Astyanax mexicanus: one gene and its partner. The protein of the gene in region 1 interacts with the protein of each later gene in a biochemical or structural test. Links are inferred from orthologs where the notes say so. Each region holds a gene or a part of one and is shown in the gene's direction. Other genes may lie near its edges. The genes, in order: gab1 and grap2a.

Region 1 (12,261 bases):
GTCTAATATGAAATAAAGTGGGACTGATTTTGCTGTGAGCTGCTTTATAAATATGGATACATATGGATAACTGACTGTAACACTTTTCTACTGTGCTGCTAATTATTCAGAGCATCTAATGGAGCATCTCCTGCAACCTGATTCTTGTCTTATTCAGATATAAGATGAATATAAGAATCCATAAGTTAATTTTTGCTTTAACTCGCTGAGTTGCCACTCAAATAAACAATAAACGGGTCAGAACTGTTAAGATGTGAAGCAGCTACTGTTCAGAATTCATTGTTTAAGGTTTTCTGTAGTGTTTTAAATGATATTGCTTATGGCTTGAGCTTGAAAAGACTGTCATTATCCACCACCACCAGTGGGTATAGTGCATCCAGCTGTGGAGCTCTGGGACCTGGATAACTGAAATGTTTGGGGTAATTGTGGTGAGGACGTGTGGAAAGCAAAGCTATTTTTTTCTTAACCTCAGATAGCCCTGTGTAATTTCAGCAGTCTGGGTTCATAACAAATGGGATTTGCTTCAGAATAAAGGAAGAGAAATTCAATTTTGATATTTGTTCCTTTTTCATGTAGCAGAAGCTTTTGCTTGAACCAGCGGTTCTCAATCCTGGAGTTCAGGACCAGCACTGAGTGTGCTCTGAAAGAGCTCCATACAGCAAGGATAACACTGATTCATATTGTCACTGTCCACTGAAAAACAAGTATCTCCAAAACATCTACAACTATACAGAAGAGAGAGAGAGAAAACCTTAACTTTTAATGGAAGTCCATGTAAAAAGTTTATTTCAGGTAATTTTGAAGAAATTCTATTGGTCCATATATCAACCAATTTTAACACAGTACAAGGGACAATTGGTTTGTTAAAAAATATGTAGTAATCTAAAAATTAACAAAAATGGAGATACTTGTTTTTCATCGGACAGTGACGATAGGAATCAAATGTTATTATCAGTGTCAGCGTTGCTGTATAGAGCTCTTTCAGAATTGAAACTGGTTATGAATTGAAGAGTTCTGTTCTGTAAATTCTGTTCTGGTCAATGCAGAAAATTACAACCACACTGTTATCAGAATCCAACTCAAGGGGCCCCTCCCACTAATTGCTGACAGTAGCATACAACCAGACTGGAACATGTTTAGCAGTATCTATGCACACCTGCTTTAACATCATTGTCTTTAACACTTGAATGGATAAAGCTACTGATTAACTGACATTAGTTTCACTTTCAAATCATGGAAACAGCACACCAAAACTCAATTCAATTCTGCTTGGGGCCCCCAAATGCCTTAAAACAGTCCTGGTACAAATGTAAAAACACACACTGCTTATCTAGTCACTGTAAGGACAATTTTCAAAAGAATAAAGAGGGGAGAGGGGATAAAGTGTTCTCTAGACTGATCCATCTAGTACTTTTGGAATGGAGGAGTTGGGGAGTTGGGAATGAGGCAGGATAGTGATCATCCAACATCCTAACCTCACTAATAGTCTTGTCACCAAATACAATTAAACCCTTACATCAGTTGAACTTGAACAATCTACCAGAAAGAAAGGTTTTCTGGAACAATAGAGACAGTTGCTCCAGCAAAAGAAGGTGAACTCTTTAAAATTGCTTAATTTCAACAGAAACAATTACTGAGCAGGTGTCCTTTTGTCCATATAGTGTATATATAAAGACCTTTTATATGCATCAAGCAGCCTGGAGAAGCAGTCTGCCCTCTGCCAATCTCTCTAATTGAGTCACTGCCCTTGTGTCCTGAGATGAACCCTAGCCCAGGCGGGCAGAGCGGCGTGCAGTGTCGCTGCCTCGAGGCTCGGGCCTGGAACTTCCCCATTCGCTCTAAATAGAAGCTGAGTGCTCTGAAGGTGCATTTCTTAATGGAGATGCTCATATGTATAATGCACCGAAGCCAGTCTTGTGGTTTTTAAAGGGAGGGGTGGGCATCGTTTTAGCTCTTAAATCCACCCCCAAAAGCCCATTAGCTTTGCAACGTGTGCTGTGGAGTAGCGCCACTCGCGCTGCCTCCAAGACCATTTGGTAAAATCAATGGCTTTCAATTATTCAGCAACCGAGAACCAAGCGTTTTCTCACAGCCATTTCACAAGGACACATCAACACTCTGGCCCACTCCCACTAACCTACATTAATCCAGCCGAGGGAGAAAGTAGGAGGTGGTGAGAAATCTGAAGCTGTTTCTGTGCCTCCTCCCTTTTTGGGCCTGTTATAATAACAGACATCTGCTATTGGCTTCATTACATTACATTACTTTACATTACATTAAATTAAGCGGGTGCTTTTGTCCAAAGTGACTTACAATAATGATGTAAATTAGCAATAGAGAACATAGAAGTTCAAGGTAAAAATATTTTTTGACAATAGTAAGATAGAGAAGGAAAGGCGAGGAAAAAGGAAATGAGGTTAGTAGTAGTGTGTTAGAGGTGTTAGGAGAGTAAGTGCTCTTTGAAGAGCTCAGTCTTCAGGAGTTTATTGAAGATAGTGAGAGATTCTCCTGATCTGGTAGTAGAAGGTAGTTAGTTAGAGGTGTTAGGAGAGTAAGTGCTCTTTGAAGAGCTCTGTCTTCAGGAGTTTATTAAAGATAGTGAGGGATGCTCTGGAAGGCTTGTAAGCATTGCATTGCAATTCAGATGAGTGTTGAGCACTAATAATCAGATAGTTTAATATGCATTAAATTTAAAGCAGTAGTATTACTGCATTGGAAATAAGCATCCAATGATTAATCAGTATAATCAACAATCTAATTGTATGTAAAATTGTATATATATATATATATATATATATATATATATATATATATATATATATATATATATATATATATTTATATACTGGGATAACTTATACAGTTTACACTCTACTTGTGTTGTGTCTCCAAAAGTGCAAAAACTCAACTGATCAAATAGTCACTCAGTAAATATCAGTATATTTATATATATATATATATATATGTATATATATATATATATATATATATATATATATATATATATATATATATACATATATATACATATACTGGGATAACTTATACAGTTTACACTCTACTTGTGTTGTGTCTCCAAAAGTGCACAAACTCAACTGATCACATAGTCACTCAGTAAATATCAGTACTTTTCGAATTTTAACATCTTCTAGGTATTTAAAAGGCATGTACTGTATATCCTACATTGAGCTGTTTCCTTTATTTTAAAGTGAAGGAAGCAAAGGAAGTCTTCGCATTTTGACATCTGCATTAAACATGCTCTTTTTCATGCTCTGTGCCATTACTCATTCTCACCAGAGAGGTAAAACAAAAACTTACAGAATGTCACTTTAAATGTGAGTCTGCAGCAGAACAGTTGTACACTAAACTGTACACTAACTAAGAGTAATGAGGACAAAATAACATAGCCCTTCATAATATGCAGCTAATGCCCTGCCAGTCTTAGTGCGCAGCACTAGCAGTTTGAGATTGGCTGCTCTTTCCTGCGTACGCGTCCCTGCATGCCGTATAAAATGCCACTGGATTTAATGCGTCCCTCATAAATGTTTTAATCTTTCGCAGAAGCTTGAACCCCCGGACCTTTCCCTCAGAAATGGACTCAGCAAAGCAAAGGCTCTAATTCAATCTCTCTCCTGTGAGTTTAGGATCTGTCTGTAGCTTGTTTTGTATCAAAAACAACTCTTAAAAGACCTATATCAGAAAAAATGAGATTTACCTCATTTTTTAAAAGTAAAAGATTGATGCAATTTGTAAAAACATATATATTTTTTTGCTTATTTCAAAGTGCATTCAAGCTGGGCTTATTCCCTGTTCATTTTATGCCTTATAAAGTATCTAGAGAGAAATTAGAGCAACTAGAGTTAGTGTTATATTACATTATTATAAAGCTGTGTTTAGTTTGGTTGATTTCAATAATCTATTCAAAAACGACCCCACCAATCCGCAACACACAGAGCCTCCACTACCAGACTCTGCAACAGCTTCTTCCACCAGGCAGTCAGACTCCTCAACACACACAGCCTCCACTACCAGACTCTGCAACAGCTTCTTCCACCAGGCAGTCAGACTACTCAACACACAGAGACTCCACTACTAGACTCTGCAACAGCTGCATCCACCAGGCAGTCAGACTCCTCAACACACAGAGCCTCCACTACCAGAGTCTACAACAGCTTCTTCCACCAGGCAGCCAGACTCCTCAACACACAGAGCCTCCTTTACCAGAGTCTACAACAGCTTCTTCCACTAGGCGGTCAGACTCCTCAACACACAGAGCCTCCACTACCAGACTCTGCAACAGCTTCATCCACCAGGCAGTCAGACTCCTCAACACAAAGAGCCTCCACTACCAGACTCTGCAACAGCTTCATCCACCAGGCGGTCAGACTTCTCAACACACAGAGTCTCCACTACCAGACTCTGCAACAGCTTCATCCACCAGGCAGTCAGACTCCTCAACACACAGAGCCTCCACTACCAGACTCTGCAACAGCTTCATCTACCAGGCAGTCAGACTCCTCAACTCACAGAGACGGAGCTGAACCCCTCAGCCCCCACAACCCCCCACTACCACACACCCAACACTCTCGACACTCTTCACACACACTCTCTTAGCACACAGAGACCGAAATGTCTCTATCCTTATCTGCAATATTTGTTGCTTCATTCTATAGAAAAGTATAAACTCTCTACCTAATTTTAATTTTGTTACACTGTGTAATGACAATAAACGTATATTGATTTGAATTGAAAAACAAGAAAACAGGAAAATATTGATGAATATTGCATGTGTAGAACTGGTTCCAGTAGACAGTGTAAACTTATGTTATTTGCACTGCTAATGTCATTAACTAAAGCCTATCTGCTGAATCTGCAAACAGAGCAGACTTGGTCACACTTTCTTCAACGAAAGACATGTAAATGTAACTAAATTAAGTGTGCAAATCCTCTACTCTAGTTCTAACACAGTCTACCACATGATGAATAGCTAATCTGCACTGAAAGATTCGTAAACACAAAGGGATCTGCTGAGCAATGCTCCTCAGCTCAGAGCTTCAGAGAGCGGCCTGCTTTCCTGGAGCTGTGTGTGTGTGTGTGTGTGTGTGTGAGCAGGCAGGCCTTTGTTAGTGGAGCTGATTGGAGAAGGCGTTTCCCATTACAACAGCATTCCTGCCATACCAGTCTCTCTGACTGAGGGAAGAGAGAGCTGGAGGGAAAACACTGGAAGAGACTGTGCAGCACAGGATCAGGAACACGTTATACACAATTGACTCTAAAATTAGCACAGTTATGTATTTCAGTACTCTGTATAGTGTATATGGATATAAAAGCATGCATAGCATAGTGGATTTAGTGTTTTGTGTTTCAAGATTCAGTGTTTATTTGTTATTTGCACAATATGTCAGGACATACATGCATTGTTTGCTTGTGGTGAGGCTTAGGGTAACTACTCTGCAGCAGGCTTACACAAATAAACAGGAGTAAACATACTAAATAAAACAGGAAATGTAGTAAATATACACAAAATATTCATAAACATATACAGAAGGAGGAAGGTCCTATGAAAAAAAGGTCAAAAGTTTTAGAACACCCCTATTGTTCTCTTCTCCTCACTGCTGAAACTGAGACTTAGTCCAATATTAAGCTGTGTTAAAGGCGCGGTTGCCATGTGGGTCAGCTAGACCTGACTCTTACTGTACCCATTTTCTCCAGTTTCTCCAGGAGTCTTTTAAAGGTGTCTTTTAAAGGTGTAGGAAACAGTATTCACCGCTCTCTGGCTTCATCTGTAAATTCTCTAAATAAAGACTTCTACTTTTTATAGTTACAGAGTTCTATGTGTATCTGTGTCTTTTTCTAGTTTTTATAAAAAAAGAGTGAATGTGCATTTTAAATGCTGCAGAAAAGAGAGCAGTAAACCATATATTGAAAATTACAGTATTGACTATAATAATACCATCAACTATAAATAAAAATATCTCACTTAATACAAAAAGTGCAAGCATATACACACAATAATTTACAAATCGACAAATATACACATATCAATGTATACAACAAAAGAGAAAAAGTGTAAAAATACTGGAGATAGAAAATGTGCATTTTTCCTCCCTACACTATACAAATAGATTGGACATAGGAATCTGAGTGGACAAAAACTAAAGATTTTCTATCAAAACACAAATATATGAATGTTTTTTTTTGTTAGAGTGAATTAGTGTGAACTACTGTCCCTCTTAGCATTTGTCTTCACACAAAACACCTAATATATCTTAAACATCCACACATATAGTAAGTTAGTAGATTTAATAATATTAGACGTAAACGTTAACTTTTATAAATATAGCCATTAAAATATTAATAATAAATAATGCAAATTTTAAAAAATCAATTTACCTACTAGGATTCATGTACAAGATGGATTCTGGTAAGTGTAGTTTACACGGGAATGATGAAAACGCTTCTCAAAAATCACCTGGTTTTAATATTTTTTTCAGTTCTTTTTTCGTCAGTGATTGTTGCATTGTTATCTAAAGATAAATAAATATAAAATAACGTTTCACATTTTTTGTTTAGTTGAGTTAAAACGTGTATTGTACTGCGTGTATTGTGTATTGTCTATCGCTTAAAGACTACATTTCCCATGGTGCATTGCTTCCCTTCTCTCTCTCTCTCTCCCTGTCTCGCTCTCTCTCTCTCTCTCTCTCTCGCGCGCTCGTTCGCTCGTTCGCTCGCGCTCTCGCTGGAGTTCGAGGCGAGTTTAGGGGAAAAGTATCGGCGGTTATCGGCTGTCAGTCACCCGGGAGCGGAGCGGGGAGGGAAAACACGACGGAAAAGGAGGATTTTCTGCTCAAACTGCGGACGGAGAGAGTCTGGGCGGCTGAAATGTGCTGGAGAAGAGAGGAAAAGCGGCGGGAATGTGTGGAAATGTGTAGTTTTTAAGAGAGAAAGAGAGGGAGAGCTGGAACAGCCCGGGAGAGCTGGAACAGCCCGGGAGAAGTTGCTGGATTAAGCAGGCGGAGGAGTGTTCGTGTGTTTGGAGGCGAAAAGTGCGGATTTTTCTCGGTAATTAAGCCTGGAGTTTATTTCCACGCGTATGTTCTGGATTTATTCTGTGTTTTAACGCGGATTTGAGTCTTCCCAGCGAGAGGAAGGAGTTGGTAGCTGAGAGTTTTGGCTGTTGTGGCTGAGCTGCTGGAGGAGGAGGAGACGCTGGGAGAAGCTCAGCACTGACGGTATTTTCTGCCCTGTTTTTCTCTCTTATTCCCCTCTAAACTTTCTACACTGCTTATAAACCACGAGGATATCGTTTATTAGGTGTTACTAGGTCCGTTTTTTGACCATATGACCAGAAAAAATAAACAAACTACCTATGTTTATGTTGTTTGAGACTGTACAACTTTATAAGCTATGCAGCTAATTTCCATTTTTCTAGCTAGCTAGGTTAGCTAACTTAGTTTGGTAAAGAGAAGAAATTGGGTTAAAGGTGTACTGATGTGAAAATTCTGGGATACCGATACCCGATATCACACATCGATACGTTCCTAAAATAATCGCCTCATAAACTAATTTTAATTCAGTTTAAGTTATTCAGCTAACACTAAAGCCAAGAGACCTTTTTCATCAGTTGTTATGACTATTTAAAAATGAGCAGTAACGTTAGAATCAACCATAAACAATCATATAGTCCTATATATACAGCTCTGGGGGGGGAAAAGCAAGAGACCACTTAAAAATATTGAATTTCTTTAATTTTACCCCATTGAGAACACATTTTGGTCACAAGCCATCAAACCCAGCTGAACTGCTTGACTTTTTGGACCAGGAGTAAAGGCATAAAGTTATCCAAAAGCAGTGTGTAAGACTGATTGAGGAGAACACGCCAAGATGCATAAAAAAACTGTAATTAAAAACAGGCTTATTCCAACAAATATTTATTTCTAAACTCTTAATTTTATAAATATCAACTTGTTTTCTTTGCATATTTCTTTTGCATTATAATTTATGTTTATTCGTAAGAAGTAAATTTCAGTGAAGGTAGCTCCATCTTGGAAAGCTATTAAAATTGCAACAATATGTCACATTTTGCTTAGGCATACACTTCTGACATTATCCTAAAGGGGTAGAATCAAATGGTTTGATCAACTGAGGTGATGAAATGTAAAAAAAATGAATAAATACAAATTAGCTTAAATTAATGGATTTTAGTTTGTAGTAGTGCAGTCAGGTTCACTTGGTCTTTTTCCGGCATACAGTAATACTGATATAATTCTTATATCATTGTGCATCCCTAATGTTCATTCATTTTAAAGTTTTTGCTATGTGTACCCCAATAACTATGATATCATGATACTGTGACTATTGTCTGCGTTGCAGTCCCCAACCTCCCAGCTACAGTATAATCCAGACATTTGTACACAATGGAAAAAAAAATCAGAAGAAGAATTTCTTCTTCACTATACTAAATGAACAAAAAAAATACATTTTACACACAATTTCCTATTTTCTAGGGAATCTCATATGATCAGGAAATTGAACTGATAAACATTACACTGACCCTTCACCCACCACTGTGTTTCTCCTTTTTTCAGCTCAATCTGCGTCCCAGATCTCTTCGAGGGACAGAAAGGGGAAGCTTTCTGCAGCAACAAAATGAGTGGGGGGGATGTGGTGTGCTCCGGCTGGCTCAGAAAGTCTCCACCAGAGAAGAAGTTACGGCGTTATGTAAGTAAATCTCAGTTTTATTCAAATGTGCTGTGGTCTGTGGGGGCTGACCACAAAGCCAGTACCCATGCAAATAACCTGCTTTCTAACAGCTAGAGCAGATAAAGCCTGCTCTTTCGTGAAAACGAGCTCAACCAGCTACCTGAGAGGGGAAATTAGTGAATCTGGCACCAGGTTAACTTCTGCTACATTCCCCTAAACCTGTCCTGGGTGTGTGCTGACATGTTTACTTGTCAATATTTTAGCTAGATGTTTCAGTATTTTTTTTTTTAGCATGTGCTGCTGTTTTCTCCTCCCTCACTCACTCACAACACTCACAGCATCCAAACACACAATTAGTGTGACACTAAAGTCTATATTTCGTGCAGTCATGCCTTCATTTCTACCCACACCTCCTCCTCATGTAGGCTAGACTCTCTGTTTGTGGTAAAAGCTGGTGTATTTGTCTTATTCTTGCTTTAAAAGAGCACATTTGACTTGTAGAGTGCCCCTGATATATCCAGGTAGAAAAAACAAAAAAACAAAAAAAAAAACCTTACTTTAAAAATCTGGTCTCTCAGATTAAGAATCCGTTCCATCGGTTTAGCAATCCATTCCTTCGGTTTAGCAATCTATTCCCTCAATTTTATAATCTGTTCCTTTGGTTTAGCAATCTGTTTCTTCGGTTTAACAATCTATTCCCTTAATTTTAAAATCTGTTCCTTCAATTTAGCAATCTGTTTCTTCGGTTTAACAATCTATTCCCTTAATTTTAAAATATGTTCCTTTAATTTAGGCATCCACTCCTTCGGTTTAGCAATCTGTTTCTTCGGTTTAGCAACCTATTCCCCCAATTTTATAATCTGTTCCTTCAATTTAGCAATCCATTCCTTCAGTTTAGCAATCTGTTCTTTTGGGTTTAGCAATATGTTCCTTCGGTTTAGCAAACTGTTCCTTCGGTTTAGCAAATCGATCCTTCTGTTTAGCAATTTGTTTAATAAGTTTAGCAATCTATTCCCTTAATTTTATAATCCGTTCCTTCGGTTTAGCAATCTATTCCCTCAATTTCAAAATCTGTTCCTTCAATTTAGCGATCTAAATTTTGCTCCCTCTGAGCTCTTGGCAACTTGATGGCAAAGCTGCATGAGTGGGGGCTCGAACCTTCGACCTCCTGCTCATAGCTTTAGACCGCTGGACCACTCGGTGCCCCAGCAATCCACTCTTGGTTTAGCAATCTGTTTCTTCAATTTAGCAATCCATTCCCTCGTTTTAGCAATCTTTTCCCTCAATTTAATAATCTGTTCCTACGGATTAGCAAACTGTTACTTCGGTTTAGCAATTTGTTCCATCAGTTTAGCAATCCGATCCTTCGGTTTAGCAATTCGTTTCATCAGTTTAGCAAATTGTTCAGTTGGTTTAGCAATATATTCCCTTAATTTTATAATCTGTTCCTTCAATTTAGCAATCCGTTCCATTATTTTAGCAATATGTACACTGAGAAAAGCTGTTTATTCAATTGATGAAATTGATGTTTAAACCGATTTTTAAATTTGATTTCTGTATTGAAGGAACAGTGTTTTACATTGAGGGAAAATGTATTTAACTAATAGAACAATTTGTTAAACTGCATGAATGTCTAAATGTTATTATTATTTTTATTACTATAATACTTTACGGACTCAGTGGGCTTGCTTGGTGGTAGAGTAGGGCAAACCTCATGCTAAAAGAAAGCATATCAAAACTAAGATCTTCCATTAAAAGGGGCATAAATAGTCCAGCGTCAGGAGAAATGGTTGAAATCTTCAGCGTCAGCAGTGCACTATTTATGCTTGTTCTGGGAAAATGTCAGCTGTGTTACAAAAGACTCCAGCTTTGAAGTATTAAAAGCAGAAGTTGAACTTCTGAGTGGTTATGCCACTGTTTTAGCAGTGAGAAGACGGTTAGATGCTTAGAAACATCTGTTTAATAACACTGAACGGGTCAACGGTCCTCCATAAGTTGCAGGATGTAATATACCTCCTTTTTAATCTGTAATGAAATCACTCGTGGCTCACCCTGCTGTCAAGCCTCAGCCAAATATGCTGCTGACCTCTTGTAGGCACAAGCGTTGTTTTTTTATTGGATTTCTTTTATCCACTGTAATTATGATATGGCATGACATGATAAGCTAACCATGCTTAGAAAACTGGGTTCAGTCTGGTTTGTAAGCTCTGTTTCTGAGAGGAAAATGAAATCACAAGAACGGCTGTCCGACCCTTCAGTGAAAAAGATGCCACTGATTATAACTTCACCATGACTAGGTGAACTAAACTACTGTTTACTGCTTATATGCATGTAATTGTTGGAGATGTCCTGATTCTGACTAGGACCGATCAAGGCATGTTTTAATATTTAGTCAGATTAAATTATTAGATATTAAACACATTATAAAATTGTAATTTTTAAGAAAAGTTTGTTACTAAACAAACAGTCCAGACTGTCACATTAAACTCTTAATTATACACATAAACTATTGCTTAAAATAATCACTAAAAGTTATTTTACTTCAATGTTAATCACTATTTATCTTATCTAAACTGCGTGGATGTATTGTTTATAGATACTAAAAGGTCGGATCAGCATTGTCCAAAAAAAATGGGTTGAGACATCCCTAGAAAATGTGTTGATTTTTGAGTTATTGCAAAATATAAGCCACTATGTTTTTTAAAACTTTGGGCTCTTTACCGCCTCATCACTTTCAGTTTCTTGCCTTGGTGGTTTGCAGATGTAAGGCAGATAAGCAAATGCGGTTCTTGTTTATCAGAACCGGTTCACCCGACCCATGCTAGCACCTGCATTGCTTTGCTCTGGATGGAATAGGGAGCATATCCCCTTGCTGTGGGCCTCTTGGCTTTTTCTGTGAGAGCTGGCACCAGTATCTCTGCGGAAATCACTAGAAACCTAGTGGGCTCAAAGTATTAAATAAACTGTCTGAGTATTGTCACTCACATTGGCTGACTGTGTAAACAACTCTGCTAGTTTCAACACGTGCTGCCCACTCCTCCACTGTCTGTAACAGTGGTTCTCAGCTAACTTTTAGATGGTCCCTCTTTTTGCTCTATCCCAACGTCTCAACTCTTGAGGTGGGCTTAGGGGGACCTTGCAGACAGATTTGAGAATTACTGGTCTCTATAGTCCATATATGAAGAAATGGGTAATTTGGAATTGACCAAAAATTGATTTATACACACAATCCGCGTTCCCAATATAGCAGTTTGGTTTAAATGCTGTTTCCATTGACTGTAATATAGCATTTTTTGTTGCAGCTCCATTAGACAAACATGGGATTTCTGGTTTGCTGCTATTCTTTCTCAAAATGTAAATGCCACTTAAGAGTAACACTAACTATCCCTTCTGTTGTAACAGGAATAAACTGTAACACAACACTGCATTCTTCTACCTCTGTAACTGGGTTAAATTGTTACACACTAATTTTTTATACTTAGGAAACGAACTGAAACAGTAACACTACTTACTCAGACAGGGATTAAGTCTAGTCTTAGGCTACACAACATTTTATAT
Region 2 (12,919 bases), on another chromosome or scaffold:
GTATCAGTTTCCTCATCAGATTTTGTCATTCTCGTTCTCAGGTTCATGTTATTTTCATTCATGGTCACTTTCGCTTCTGGAGAATCTCCTTATTTTCTGGTTTTGATGGTCACTTTCATTTTCATTGATTAAAACAAAGTAGTCTAAAAATCAAGCTTGACAAGCTCTTGAGATGACGGCAGTATGTGGACAGGCATTGTCTTGTTGAAATAGTGCACTGAAGTTTGTATTTAAAAAAGGTAGGAGGGCTACTGGTTGCAGGACCTTATTAATGTACCACTAGGCTGTCAAAGTGTAACGAAAACTAAGCATGATCTGCAGTTGTGCAAAACTGCACCTCACACCATTACACCAGGTTTTCTAGATGTGTAGGACATGACACAATATAGTTTTGATTAATACATCCATTGCGCCGTCAAAATTACTACTACACTTAAAAAAAAAATGATGCGTAAAATTGACTTAAAAAAAAGGTTTTGCAACTTCCTGCATTTGCTTTTTTTAAGTAAGTTTAATTTTAGATAAATTTAAGTAACTTCAACTCAGTTTCAATACTTAAATGTTAGACAGAGTAAATAAGTGAACTAAACTTCAGTCAATCCTTACTTTAATTAAACTTCATTTATTTTTGCAAAATCAATTCTTTCTTTTAGCAAACTTTACTTCATTTCTGCATACAATAGTACCTAATTACAACTACTTAAAGTATACAATATTATTGTACATAATTTTAGTTAAAACACACATTCAAATATTTACATAATCTCAAAGATTTATTTTGTAAACAGACCAAGTCTCACCGTCTCCACACATGGATGGCATGTAATACATTTTTAGTATACTTTATATATTTTTAGTATACTAAAAATAATGTATTACATGCCATCCATGTGTGGAGACGGTGAGACTTGGTCTGTTTACAAAATAAATCTTTGAGATTATGTAAATATTTGAATGTGTGTTTTAACTAAAATTATGTATAATAATATTGTATACTTTAAGTAATTGTAATTAGGTAATATTGTATGCAGAAATGAAGTAAAGTTTGCTAAAAGAAAGGATTGACTGAAGTTCAGTTCACTTATTTACTCTGTGTGACATTTAAGTCTTGAAACCGAGTTAAAGTTGCTTAAATTTACATGAAATTAAATTATATAAAGGATCCTTCAGTTTGGAACAGTCTTTTATGATGTAGTGGCCAAAGAAATGCAGCCTAACTTGGCTCCAGCCTAGACTTTGGAACACAGTCTTTAGAGTCCAACAGTATATGGTCGAGCATTGTCCTGTTGGAATAGTGCATTGAAGTGTGTACTCAGAAAAGGTAGAGCCACAAGCAGCAAATATCTCCATTTATTAAAGGACCCAGTCAGGGCTGGACTGGGGAAAAAAATCGGACCTGGCGTTTTTGGTTTTGACCGGCCCCTTATAATTAGCGTAGCACAACCAACTTGTAATTTATGTATGTGGTGTTACAGAGAAGCATAACGTATCATTAGCATATTAAATATCCATTAAATATTTTTTTCTGCTGTGTGTAGTGCAATTGATTTTTTATCCTTCTTATTGAAATCATCTCTAATATGTATTTTTTTTTTAAATAAACAGATCTTAATATTTTTTTTTTTTTTTAAAGTCAACCTGAAATTTAAATCTGACCTTGTGTACCTCGTTAATTCCTGCCCCGGTCCTATTAATCACAGCTCATCATGTTCTCTCATTTAAAAGTCAAAACCATGTTTTCCTCCAACCTTTTCATTTGACTTTTGGAGCACATAGGGCACCTTATCCCATCCTTTCACTTAACAACTAACAGAAAGTGCTGAGCTCTCTTAAAGACACCCTGATACTCAGAAATGAATCATGGTATAGAACAGAAACCAGACGACCACTGTGGTTCCTTATTCATATTCACTTAGAAAGAAGAATTTCACAGATTTTCCTTATGAAGCCTGACTCTGCAATCTAACACAGGCTTTTTAAGCTGGTGCACTGTAAGCCTGGATAAGTTGAGTTTACTTAAAAAAAATTAGGAAACTGGTTGCCTTAACCCTTGTGTGGTGTTCATATTTTTGTTACTCGTTTACTTTGTTACTTGTATTTAATTCAGCAAAATTAAGCAATTTTACATTAAAATGCTTTACATATGCTCGCTTCACCTAAATTGCAAGCAATATAAACAGCTTACATGGTTAATATTTGCCCTTTACCTTTCTTATGTTACATTTCTTTTCAATTTCTTTTTATTAGTTTTTTAATAAAATGTAAAAGAAAATGAATTAAACTCAAGATATAAGTAGAAAATTTGTTTAGTTTCAAATTTACAAATGAAGCAATGTTTATTAACCCTTGGCCAAACATACTGTATGTAATATAAATGTGTAGGGGGGGGGGGGGTGGGGGTGTACAGTGTGTGTTTATCGAAAATGTGTTTTGATATATGTTTTTCACAAAACATGAGCCAATGAGTTTGAGTTAGAAAAAATATTTTTTTAGTATCATTTGATGAAAAATAAAAACACCACACAAGGGTTAATAATTAGTTAAGTAATGGGGAATGAAAACTTAAGTTAGCATAACTCAAAACATTAAGTTATTACAACTTTTTTATTTTAGTTATACTGTAAGACCGGATAAGTTCAGTTTACTTCACTTTTTAAGGCTTGCTTCTAAGGTTTGTCAATTTGTTTTTTTTAAGCAATGGGGGATGAAAACTTGAGTTAACTTAAATAAAAAATCAAGTTATTACCACTAAAGGGGAAGTTCATTTATTTCTAAGGAAGCCCAGGGGATGGAATCACTACACACTGATGGTGAGTGTTTTGTCGGAAACTGTTGGACACACCCAGTATGCAAATAGATTGTGACAGAAGCCAATGGAAAAGAAGCTGCCAATAGCAACAGACTAAGCTCAGATATGATACAGTCATATGAAAAAGTTTGGGCACCCCTATTAATCTTAATCATTTTTAGTTGTAAATATTTGGGTGTTTGCAACAGCCATTTCAGTTTGATATATCTAACAACTGATGGACACAGTAATATTTCAGGATTGAAATGAGGTTTATTGTACTAACAGAAAATGTGCAGTAAAAAAAAAAGTGGTCTCAATACAGTGCACTTTGCACAAGGAGAAGCTGTATGGGAGAGTGATGCGAAAGAAGCCATTTCTGCAAGCACGCCACAAACAGAGTCGCCTGAGGTATGCAAAAGCAAAAGCAAAAGCACACCTCAGGCGACTAAAAATGATTAAGATTAATAGGGGTGTCCAAACTTTTTCATATGACTGTAAGTTGGTTCAACTCAAATATCTCAGTTTGAATAGTACAGTATATGTGCTCTCAAACATTCAACTAACTCAAAATAGTTGAGTATTGTTTAGAAATCTCCAATTTTATGTAAAACAGACTTAAATCATTTGAGTTCAAACAGCTTATGGGTTTACAGTGTATACAGTTTGGAAACACCTTAAATTTAAGGGATCTGTAGATCAATACTAACTTCATCCAAACTATGAAGAGAAACATATGGAATTATTTAATTAACAAAAAAGGAAATATTTTATATTTTAGATAGCTTACTCCGGCTTACTACAATGGCAGTTTTGCACATCTTGGTATTTTCTCAGTTAGCTTCATGAGGTATAGAGTCACCTGGAATATCTTAATTTTTTTGCTCTCCTAATGTGTTTAAGTGCATCAGCTGTAAAGTTGTGAAGAGGTAGATTTGGTGAATAATACAGTGAATAGCTCTATTTGAGTAATGTTATTAAAAAATTAATGGCAGGAATTAATCAACTAAGTAAAGACTTTAAAAAATGACTTTAAGAAATGAAGGTCAGTCAGTTGCAGAGACCATCAAAAATGTTATGATGAAACTGGCTCTTATCAGGACCCCCCATCCCTGGAAAGGAAGAGCAAGAGTTTGCTCTGTTGCACAGGATTAGTTCATCAGTGAGTGAGTTACCAGCCTCAGAACCCACAAGTTAACAGCTCCCCAGATAAAAGAACCTAAATGCTAAATAGAGAGTATTTTGGTTTATTTAACACTTTTAACTTACTACATGATTCCATATGTGTTCCTTCATAGTCTGGATGATTTCAGTGTTCATTTACAAATTGAACATTAAGCATATTAAACCAATAGAAATATTGAATAATAAGGTGTGTCCAAACTTTTGACTGGTACTGTATATGAACAGTTAATTTGCAAAAACAGATAGAAGCCATTTTTTTAAGCATACAGTACAGGCCAAAAGTTTGGACACACCTTCTCTTTTTCAGTGCGTTTTCTTTATTTTCATGACTATTTACATTGTAGATTCTCACTGAAGCATCAAAACTATGAATGAACACATGTGGAGTTTTATGTACTTAACAAAAAAAAGTTATTTTCTAGTTTCTTCAAAATAGCCACCCTTTGCTCTGATTACTGCTTTGTACACTCTTGGCATCATTCTCTCAATGAGCTTCAAGAGGTGGCCAGAGGTTCCCAGAGGTGTTTATTAGCACTTGTTGCCCCTTTGCCTTCTTCACTCTGTGCTCCAGCTCACCCCAAACCATCTGGATTGGGTTCAGGTCCGAGGACTGTGGAGGACAGCTCATTTTTTTTTATTATTTGTTAAGTACATAAAACTCCACATGTGTTCATTCATAGTTTTGATTCCTTCAGTGAGAATCTACAATGTAAATAGTTAGAAAATAAAGAAAATGCATTCAATGAGAAGGTGTGTCCAAACTTTTGGCCTGTACTGTACCTTTAATTATTTATTTATTTATTTATTTACAATTCATATACTCTTTGCTATCTAACACCCCGTCAACAGTCTATTTTCCCACCAATAAAATAGCGTCTGAGCTTAGGAACAAATCTACACTGATGGTGTGGTGTGATAGTCTGGAAGTGAGTTGTGTTCAGGAAAATGTATAGCTTGTTGCTATTTGGATGGCAGAAAACATAGGAGCGCCACTGACTGAAATGAACCTAGACAACAGTCAATCATCAGAGTCCATTCCTATACAAGCCCGCTCACTAAACACACACACAGAGACGCAGTGCAGAGCTCAAACCTGACTTTTAACTCAACGATAAACAGAATAAAGTATAAAATAATATTGCTGTTCTCTTAAATGCGTGAAAAAAAGCATGAACATGCAGATCAGTATCCCCTGCTGAGACGCAAAAAGTGCTGTGCTGTTAAGATACGAACGTGCCAAAGTCAGAGCTCACCTGCCTCTTAAAGGTAATGGTAAGTGTCATATTGATTGGTTTATTTCACGTTAAGCTTAAAATACACACATGATTGGTTAAGAGAATTAGTACACACATTTTTTGCACCCTCACAATACCAAAGACAAACTGACACGCCCCTAAATCCAGCTGCGTGATCCGCAATTGACCAGTGTACTGTAGATCACTAAAATAGGGCACTACATCTGTATATGTACTACAATAAATTTTGTCCATATCAGTGTAAATTGTTAATAATTTATCGCTTCTCATAACCTTTATTTTTCTTTTGAATAAAATTGCAATGTGACCCTTCCATGTGGGTGCAACTATTTTTTTGTTTGTGTAATTACTCTCAAATAAACAATAAGAGTTATTGCTTCTTTGTGTACGAGAAGTACATGCCTATCATATGACTGTTCTTTTATATATAGAGCTCTGAAAAAAGAGACCACCTAAAAATGATGATTCTCTTTGATTTTACCAAATTGAAAACCTCTGGAATATAATCAAGAGGGAGATGGATGATCACAAGCCATCAAACCACCAAGCTGAACTGCTTGAATTTTTGCATCAGGAGTGAGTAGCATAAAGTTATCCAAAAGCAGTGTGTAAGACTGGTGGAGGAGATCATGCCAGAATATGCCAATATGCATGAAAACTGAGATCAAAAACCAGGGTTATTCCACCAAATATTTATTATTTCTGGACTCTTAAAACTTTATGAATATGATCTTGTTTTCTTTGAATTGAAATGAAGTCTGAAAGCTCTGCATCTTTTTTGTTATTTCATCCATTTCCCATTTTCTGCAAATAAATGCTCTAAATGAGAATATTTCTATTTGTAATTTGGGAGAAATGTTGTCTGTAGTTTATAGAGTAAAGCAACAATGTTAATTTTACTCAAACATAAACCTGTAAATAGCAAAATCAGAGAAACTGATTCAGAAACTGAAGTGCTCTCTTAATTTTTTCCAGAGCTGTAACACTTCTTAAGTGATATCAGCACTACAATAGTAAATCATAGGGCTTTTTTTTTTGTTTGTTTTAATTTATTGTTAATTTTATGTACAGTATCTTATACCATGTGAAAGCCCCTACTGCACTGTAAACCATGTGAACATTTCATCATGAACAGAATTAGCATCACATATAACAACAACCGAAACTCACAAACCACAAAAGACCCCCAAACCCTGCAGTGAATCGATACATATATATATGAACGGTATATTTAGACGGTGGCAGAATGCTTTTATGAAAATAGCCGTAGCACGTATTGAGTCTGATGTATAAGCAGGCACTGAAAGTTGATGTTGGACGGTGAGATAAGTTGAATGGTTTGCTTGTTCTGCCTCTCACTTCTGCATTTTGGCTCTGGGGTTGAATACCGTGTCCTGGAAGGAAGCTAAACTCAACAGCACTGACATTTGAGGAAGGAGGCTGCTGCTGGCTGGAGAGGAGCTACGCAAAAAAAAAAAAACAAGGCTCGGATTGCTCTGCGAACCCAAAAACACCAGGGTAGGTTCTGTATCTCTTTCCTGCAAGGTGACGAACTGTGTTTTTTTTTTTGGGAGTTTTATTGTTAGCAATGAAAAACAAGTAAAATGTTCATTTACAGTGAACATACTTGGCTGAATTGAGTAATATAACATCAGAGTTAGTTGTGCAGTTGAAGTTGTGCCATGAGTAAGGTTTTTCTTAGTGAAATTTGGGTCACACTTTACTTGGATGGTCCATCTTACAGCCTTGTTGATGCTCAACTGACATTCAACTAACACTGAATTGAATGTCCTTTAAATTGAACTTAACCCTATGTTAAATGTAAATCATTCAAAATAGAACTTAACCCTACATCTAACCCTAACCTTAACCCTTAATCAACCCTAAAATCTAACCCTACACCTAACCCTAACCTTAACCCTTAATCAACCCTAAAATCTAACCCTACACCTAACCCTAACCATTAATAAACCCCTTAAAATCTAACCCTACACCTAACCCTAACCATTAATAAACCCCTTAAAATCTAACCCTACACCTAACCCTAACCTTAACCCTTAATCAACCCTAAAATCTAACCCTACACCTAACCCTAACCTTAACCCTTAATCAACCCTAAAATCTAACCCTACACCTAACCCTAACCATTAATAAACCCCTTAAAATCTAACCCTACACCTAACCCTAACCATTAATAAACCCCTTAAAATCTAACCCTACACCTAACCCTAACCTTAACCCTTAATCAACCCTAAAATCTAACCCTACACCTAACCCTAACCATTAATAAACCCCTTAAAATCTAACCCTACACCTAACCCTAACCATTAATAAACCCCTTAAAATCTAACCCTACACCTAACCCTAACCATTAATAAACCCCTTAAAATCTAACCCTACACCTAACCCTAACCTTAACCCTTAATCAACCCTAAAATCTAACCATACACCTAACCCTAACCTTAACCTAAGCTTAAAATCTAACCCTACACCTAACCCTTACCTTAAGCCTTAATCAACCCTAAAATCGAACCCTACACCTAACCTTAAGCCTTGATCAACCCTAAAATCTAACCCTACACCTAACCCTAACCTTAACCCTTATTCAACCCTAAAATCTAACCCTACACCTAACCCTAACCCTACCCTTAACCTAAGCTTAAAATCTAACCCTAAACCCAATGCTAAAATATTGGATTAGAGCTGAATGTAGGGTTATATTTAATAGAGAATCATTTACTTTCCCCTTTTAGTTCATTTGCATTTAATAAACATGTAGTTGAATGTTAGTTAGGGCACAAAACAAATCCATGATTAATTGGCGTGACAACCCATGACAAGGCGTGAGGTGCAAGATGTATTTTTTTGTGCCCTCTCGATACCAAGGACACACAGACACACCCTAAATCCAGCTGCCTGATCCAAAATTAATCGGAGTCAGAGCTCAAAAGTCTTAGCTTTTTTTTTTTTTACATTACATCAGCACCTTTAACAATTTTATTTTGCAAGGTCTGTGTTTAAAGTAGACTTAATTTTAAAAAACTGATTAATGACACTTTTTTTAACTCTTTTGGATTACCTTCTGCTGAATAAAAGCACGTATAGCAGTTTGGGAACTACAAGGTTGGAGCAATATTCAAAAATGTCAAGAAATGTCAGACTACCTCAGAACTGTCTGCAAGGCCTCAGTTTCCACGTGTTCAAATAAATAGTGCCAGATCAGGAGATGGCTAAACTGTAAGAATATCATTTAATTTTCGTTAGCTAATTCCTCAGTTTGTGATGCTTGGTTAGGTTAAAATCTGAAAGACCAAGACTCAAACTCTCAGAGAATTTTCATTTAAAATAAATAAATCAAAAGTATACTGTCAAAATAAAAGAAAATCTATTTGTTATATATTATTTACTATACAATTCTTTAAAAACTAAATACGCTTTTAGATGATAAGTTTTAGCAGTTTCTGTAATTTTACATAAACATATTTTTGTTATGCTGATATGCCATCATCACTATTGAAGCAGTTACAATGCACAAGAACACTTTGCCCCAATAATCAAAAATAAATGTACAATAATAGTCATTTTTGGCAACAGGAAGTCCTAAAAATGTCTATAAAACATGTCTATAAAAGTGACTGGCACTCCTGATAACAGAAAATGCAGATTTCTTACATGTATTTTTATAAAAGTTTGAAATAAAATGACTAAATAGTTGCCAGTTTTCAGAGACAATGTCCGACACGGCTGCTGCCACAAAATTACAGTTTTATTTTGTATTTTTTAGCAGCATATTGCAGTCTATTGACACTTAAACTCCACCTAGCAGTGGCGTGCACAGACACTTTGGGGGGCAAGTGCTCAGGAGGGAAAAAGGGCACTTTTTAGCTCATGTGGAACACTTCATTAAAATAAAAGTTATCTATCATTGATTTGGGCTAGAGCGGCTAGTTTATCTGGTGACCAGTCGGTTAAAGATGCTTAGTAGTTTGGTGCTGTATGAGACATTTTACTGCACAACAAACTGATTTCACGTTGGGCTTAGAGGGCAAACGGTAGGATTTTACTTGATGTGTATGTTACCTGGCTGGTGGGACACGGAGGAGAAGAAGCTGTTGTTATCTGTTGCTGTGCGTACTGTGCTGAAGACTCGCTGAACTGAACTGCTGCTGCAGCGCATCTAGTGTGCCTTGCGCGCGACGGCCCGGGGTCACGTGACAGAGGAAGAGAGAGGTCGGGAGTGTGCGAGCTGATTTCAGGGCATTCTGTTTTCACTCGTTTTTAATCGCTCAGGTTTTCAAAAGATCATTTATTAAAAAGATCACTTAATAATATATATATATATATATATATATATTTTTTTTTTTTTTTTTTTTTTTTTTAAACAAAGTTTCAAAAGGACACTTTGGTTAATAAAGGGCAGAGTTGATGTCTATGTCTGCACGCCTCTGCCACCTAGTCAGTAAGTACACTGCACTGACACTTTCAAGGACAATTACATATTTAAAAACTAATCCTGTCACTTTACCCGCACAAAGATACATTATCACTTTATTGTGTTTATGCTTTTCATTCACACTTACGTATCCATGATGCTACAGCAAAACTTACACTCTGAACGTAATGTTGCTGCTACTTCTCTACTATATTTTATTCTATTCTATTCTATTTTATTTTATCTTTATATTTATCTATTTTAACAATTGCTCTTTGGGTGTAACTGGACCGTGAGAATACAATTTCGTTCCAAAGTGTTTTTTATGAACTGAACATGCAAACGTTTGCTTTTGGCCTCTTTTCTTTTTTGCTATTTTAATTATTTTATTTCAGAGATCGATTCATTTTTCTACTGACAGTAAAAGGTCATTGGATCAGGGGTCACTGAAACGTGTGCATGCTGCTGAATATCAGATTGCAGGTGTGAAGACCTGAGCAGTGTTGGTCAGGGTCAGGTTTTTATACCCAGAAAACTGGGTCAGAACATTTCTGGGGTGGGGTTCTGGAGTGTCCCTAGTCAGCAGTGGGTAATTTTTTGCCAAGAACGTTTGAGGAAAGACAAACCACAATCCAGAATCAGGGTGAGGTTTGGGTGCGCACACTTTAAACTCTTTAGTAGACAAGTGTAACTAAAGCTTTAAGCAAATCGTATTCGGTTTTTCAAATCGGATCTGTTTAGATGACAGAAAATGTCTGTATGGGTAGCTGTGGCTGGCTTCTTAAACCCCAACATCTCTGTATCTCACGCGGGCCAGACGAGACGTAGACATGCGCAGGTTTTTAATGTAAAGTTTATGAGCAAAATGGTAAAACTTTAATCAATCAATTACTCAATCAAGCGATCAACCTTTATTTTCACTCGGGAAAACATTGAGGGTGACCCTCATTTACAATGTTGCCGAGCGTTTACAGCATCAAAGAGATTGAAAACATTTAATAAGAAATTAAAAAAAATAAGGAATAAAATTGTAAAAAATAATAAATAAAATAAATACTCATTTTAAATCAACATTTAATATATATATATATATATATATATATATATATATATATTCATAAAATATATATGTAAAATAGAACATTCTAAAAGACCATAAAAAACTAAATTGACACATAAAATGTTAAGAATTTATAAAATACAAGAAATAAAAAAAAACTAAAGAATGATAAGAGATGATAAAATGAACAATAATGAAGTAACATAATATAAGAATCGAAATATAAAACATTAGAAAAAAATAAAGTAAAAACTAATAATAATTAAATTAAAATAAATAAAATACATAAAGAAAAATTAATAATAAGAAAAAGATAAACTAATAAAAATAATAATTTAAACAGTCACCACCAGGCTTTCTGGTGGTGTTTAGAAAAAAAAAGTTAAAAATTATTCAGTGACACCAGCGAGTTTAGTTTCAACATTTCTAGCTCACTGGTGCACTGTAGCTAAAAGCAAAAATTTTCCCAGTTCACTAAAAACTCTTGGTATGTGACAGGTGATCCAGCCACTGGAGTGAGTCTGATAATTACTGTTATTAATTGAGATTAGAGAAGATATATAAACTGGCAAATAGGCAGAAAGTGATTTCTAAATAAAAATTAGCCAATGAGATTCTCTGCGTGCAGTTAGTGAGGACCAACCAACTCTATTATATAGTGAGCAGTGGTGAGTAGTGTAAGGGTTGCCGGTAATAAATCTCAGAGCAGAATCTTAGGTAGATTGAGTCTAATGGTTTGAAAGCACTGGCAGACATTTTTTATGAATTACATCACCATAGTCCAGGACTGCTAGTATGGTTGCCTCCACTATTCTTTTCCTAGTGTGCACGGATAAACAGGATTAATTCTGATGAAGATAATCAAGCTTTGTGTGCACTTAATGGTGAGTTTGTTAGTATGGGATTTAAAAGAAAGTTTTTAATCAAGCCAGTGCTGAGACATTTATATTCACTGTCTTGTTTGATGCTGGATTCAGGGATGTCAGGGTAGTAATAGTTATGGAATTTGGTTTATTAGCATTTAAAACCAACTTGTGTTTTAATGGAGCAGTCTGTAGAGTGTTAAAAGAGCGTTGAAGCTTTTTTAAAGCAGTGTGTGCAGAATCTGCTGAGCAGTATAAGATTGAATCATCTGCATTAAGGTGTATTTTGCAGACTAAGGTAGAGGCGGTAAGATCATTGATAAAAATATTAAATAATATTTAATAAAAAAAATTACAAGAGTTATGTGGGACAGGCATGGTAAATAGAGCAGCAATGAACAATGTACCAGAGAAAGCAGACTAAAAGGTCATATACGGGAGGTCCAAAACAGAGCAAGAACACAAGGCAAAGGAAGAGTAAAAAAAACAAAGCAGGGTCTACACCAAAAGAAGATAGAAAGAACGCGATAGATAGAAAGAGTTATGAAAATAGGTTCAGTACTCTGCAACGAGGAACAGAAACTGAGGGGTATTTATACAAGGGGAAACAGGAAATGGCAATTGGAACAGTCACGTGATCCGGAGGATAGAGCGCAGGTGCACACAAGAAAATGTAGTCTTTAAAGCAAGAGCTAGAGTCCAGGACAGACAGACTGACACCGTCACTCTGGATTCGATAAATCATTGAGTTTCAGACAGTCATTGTCCAGATTGAGACACATTTGTACAAATCACAATTGCAATCGCATTTTAAACCACCACAAAATGTGGTTAGGATCAGATTTGCAAAAAAAAAAAAAATAATACAAAAAAAAAGGGATGGCATGTTGTTTCTGGCCGTACAGCCATCTAGATATGGCAAAAATCAGATTTGGGCTGGCAGTCTGAACATAGCCAAATGGTGCTAATCACACATGATGTACGAGCCATGATTTTCACCTTCATGCATTAGCTTGTTACTGTAGTATGGTCAGCTAACAAGGTTGATGTCAAATAAGTGTCTAGATAACTCAGAACATCCTCAAGACACACTGTAGTCTGTTCGCACCTGTACTTTGTACTGGCTACTAGACTTGGGGTTGTTCATTCAGTTAATGCCAGGTCTAAACGGGGTCTCCAGCCTTCTCCAAATGTAGTTTAGTAGTGAAAAAAAAGTATATTTAAGGATACTAAGTATTTCGTAAGTAGCACACTTCTAGTATACTTCGTTGGGCATAAAAATATATTTTAATATACTGGGTAACACTTTACTTGGATGGTCCATTTGATGGCCTC

The links.
Region 2: the proteins of gab1 (region 1) and grap2a form a complex in vitro, tested with the Homo sapiens proteins (2 studies listed by BioGRID and IntAct, with this or other methods). The link is inferred for Astyanax mexicanus from reciprocal best matches to the Homo sapiens genes GAB1 and GRAP2.

What each region holds. Positions count from the first base shown.
Region 1 is NC_064414.1:48,869,961-48,882,221, forward strand, and holds the start of gab1 (GRB2-associated-binding protein 1), read left to right. Parts: upstream 1-6,733; 5' UTR 6,734-7,232; intron 7,233-8,588; 5' UTR 8,589-8,649; coding exon 8,650-8,721; intron 8,722-12,261. UniProt on the Homo sapiens protein: Adapter protein that plays a role in intracellular signaling cascades triggered by activated receptor-type kinases. Plays a role in FGFR1 signaling. Probably involved in signaling by the epidermal growth factor receptor (EGFR) and the insulin receptor (INSR).
Region 2 is NC_064426.1:7,148,094-7,161,012, forward strand, and holds the start of grap2a (GRB2-related adapter protein 2a), read left to right. Parts: upstream 1-6,624; 5' UTR 6,625-6,747; intron 6,748-12,919. UniProt on the Homo sapiens protein: Interacts with SLP-76 to regulate NF-AT activation. Binds to tyrosine-phosphorylated shc.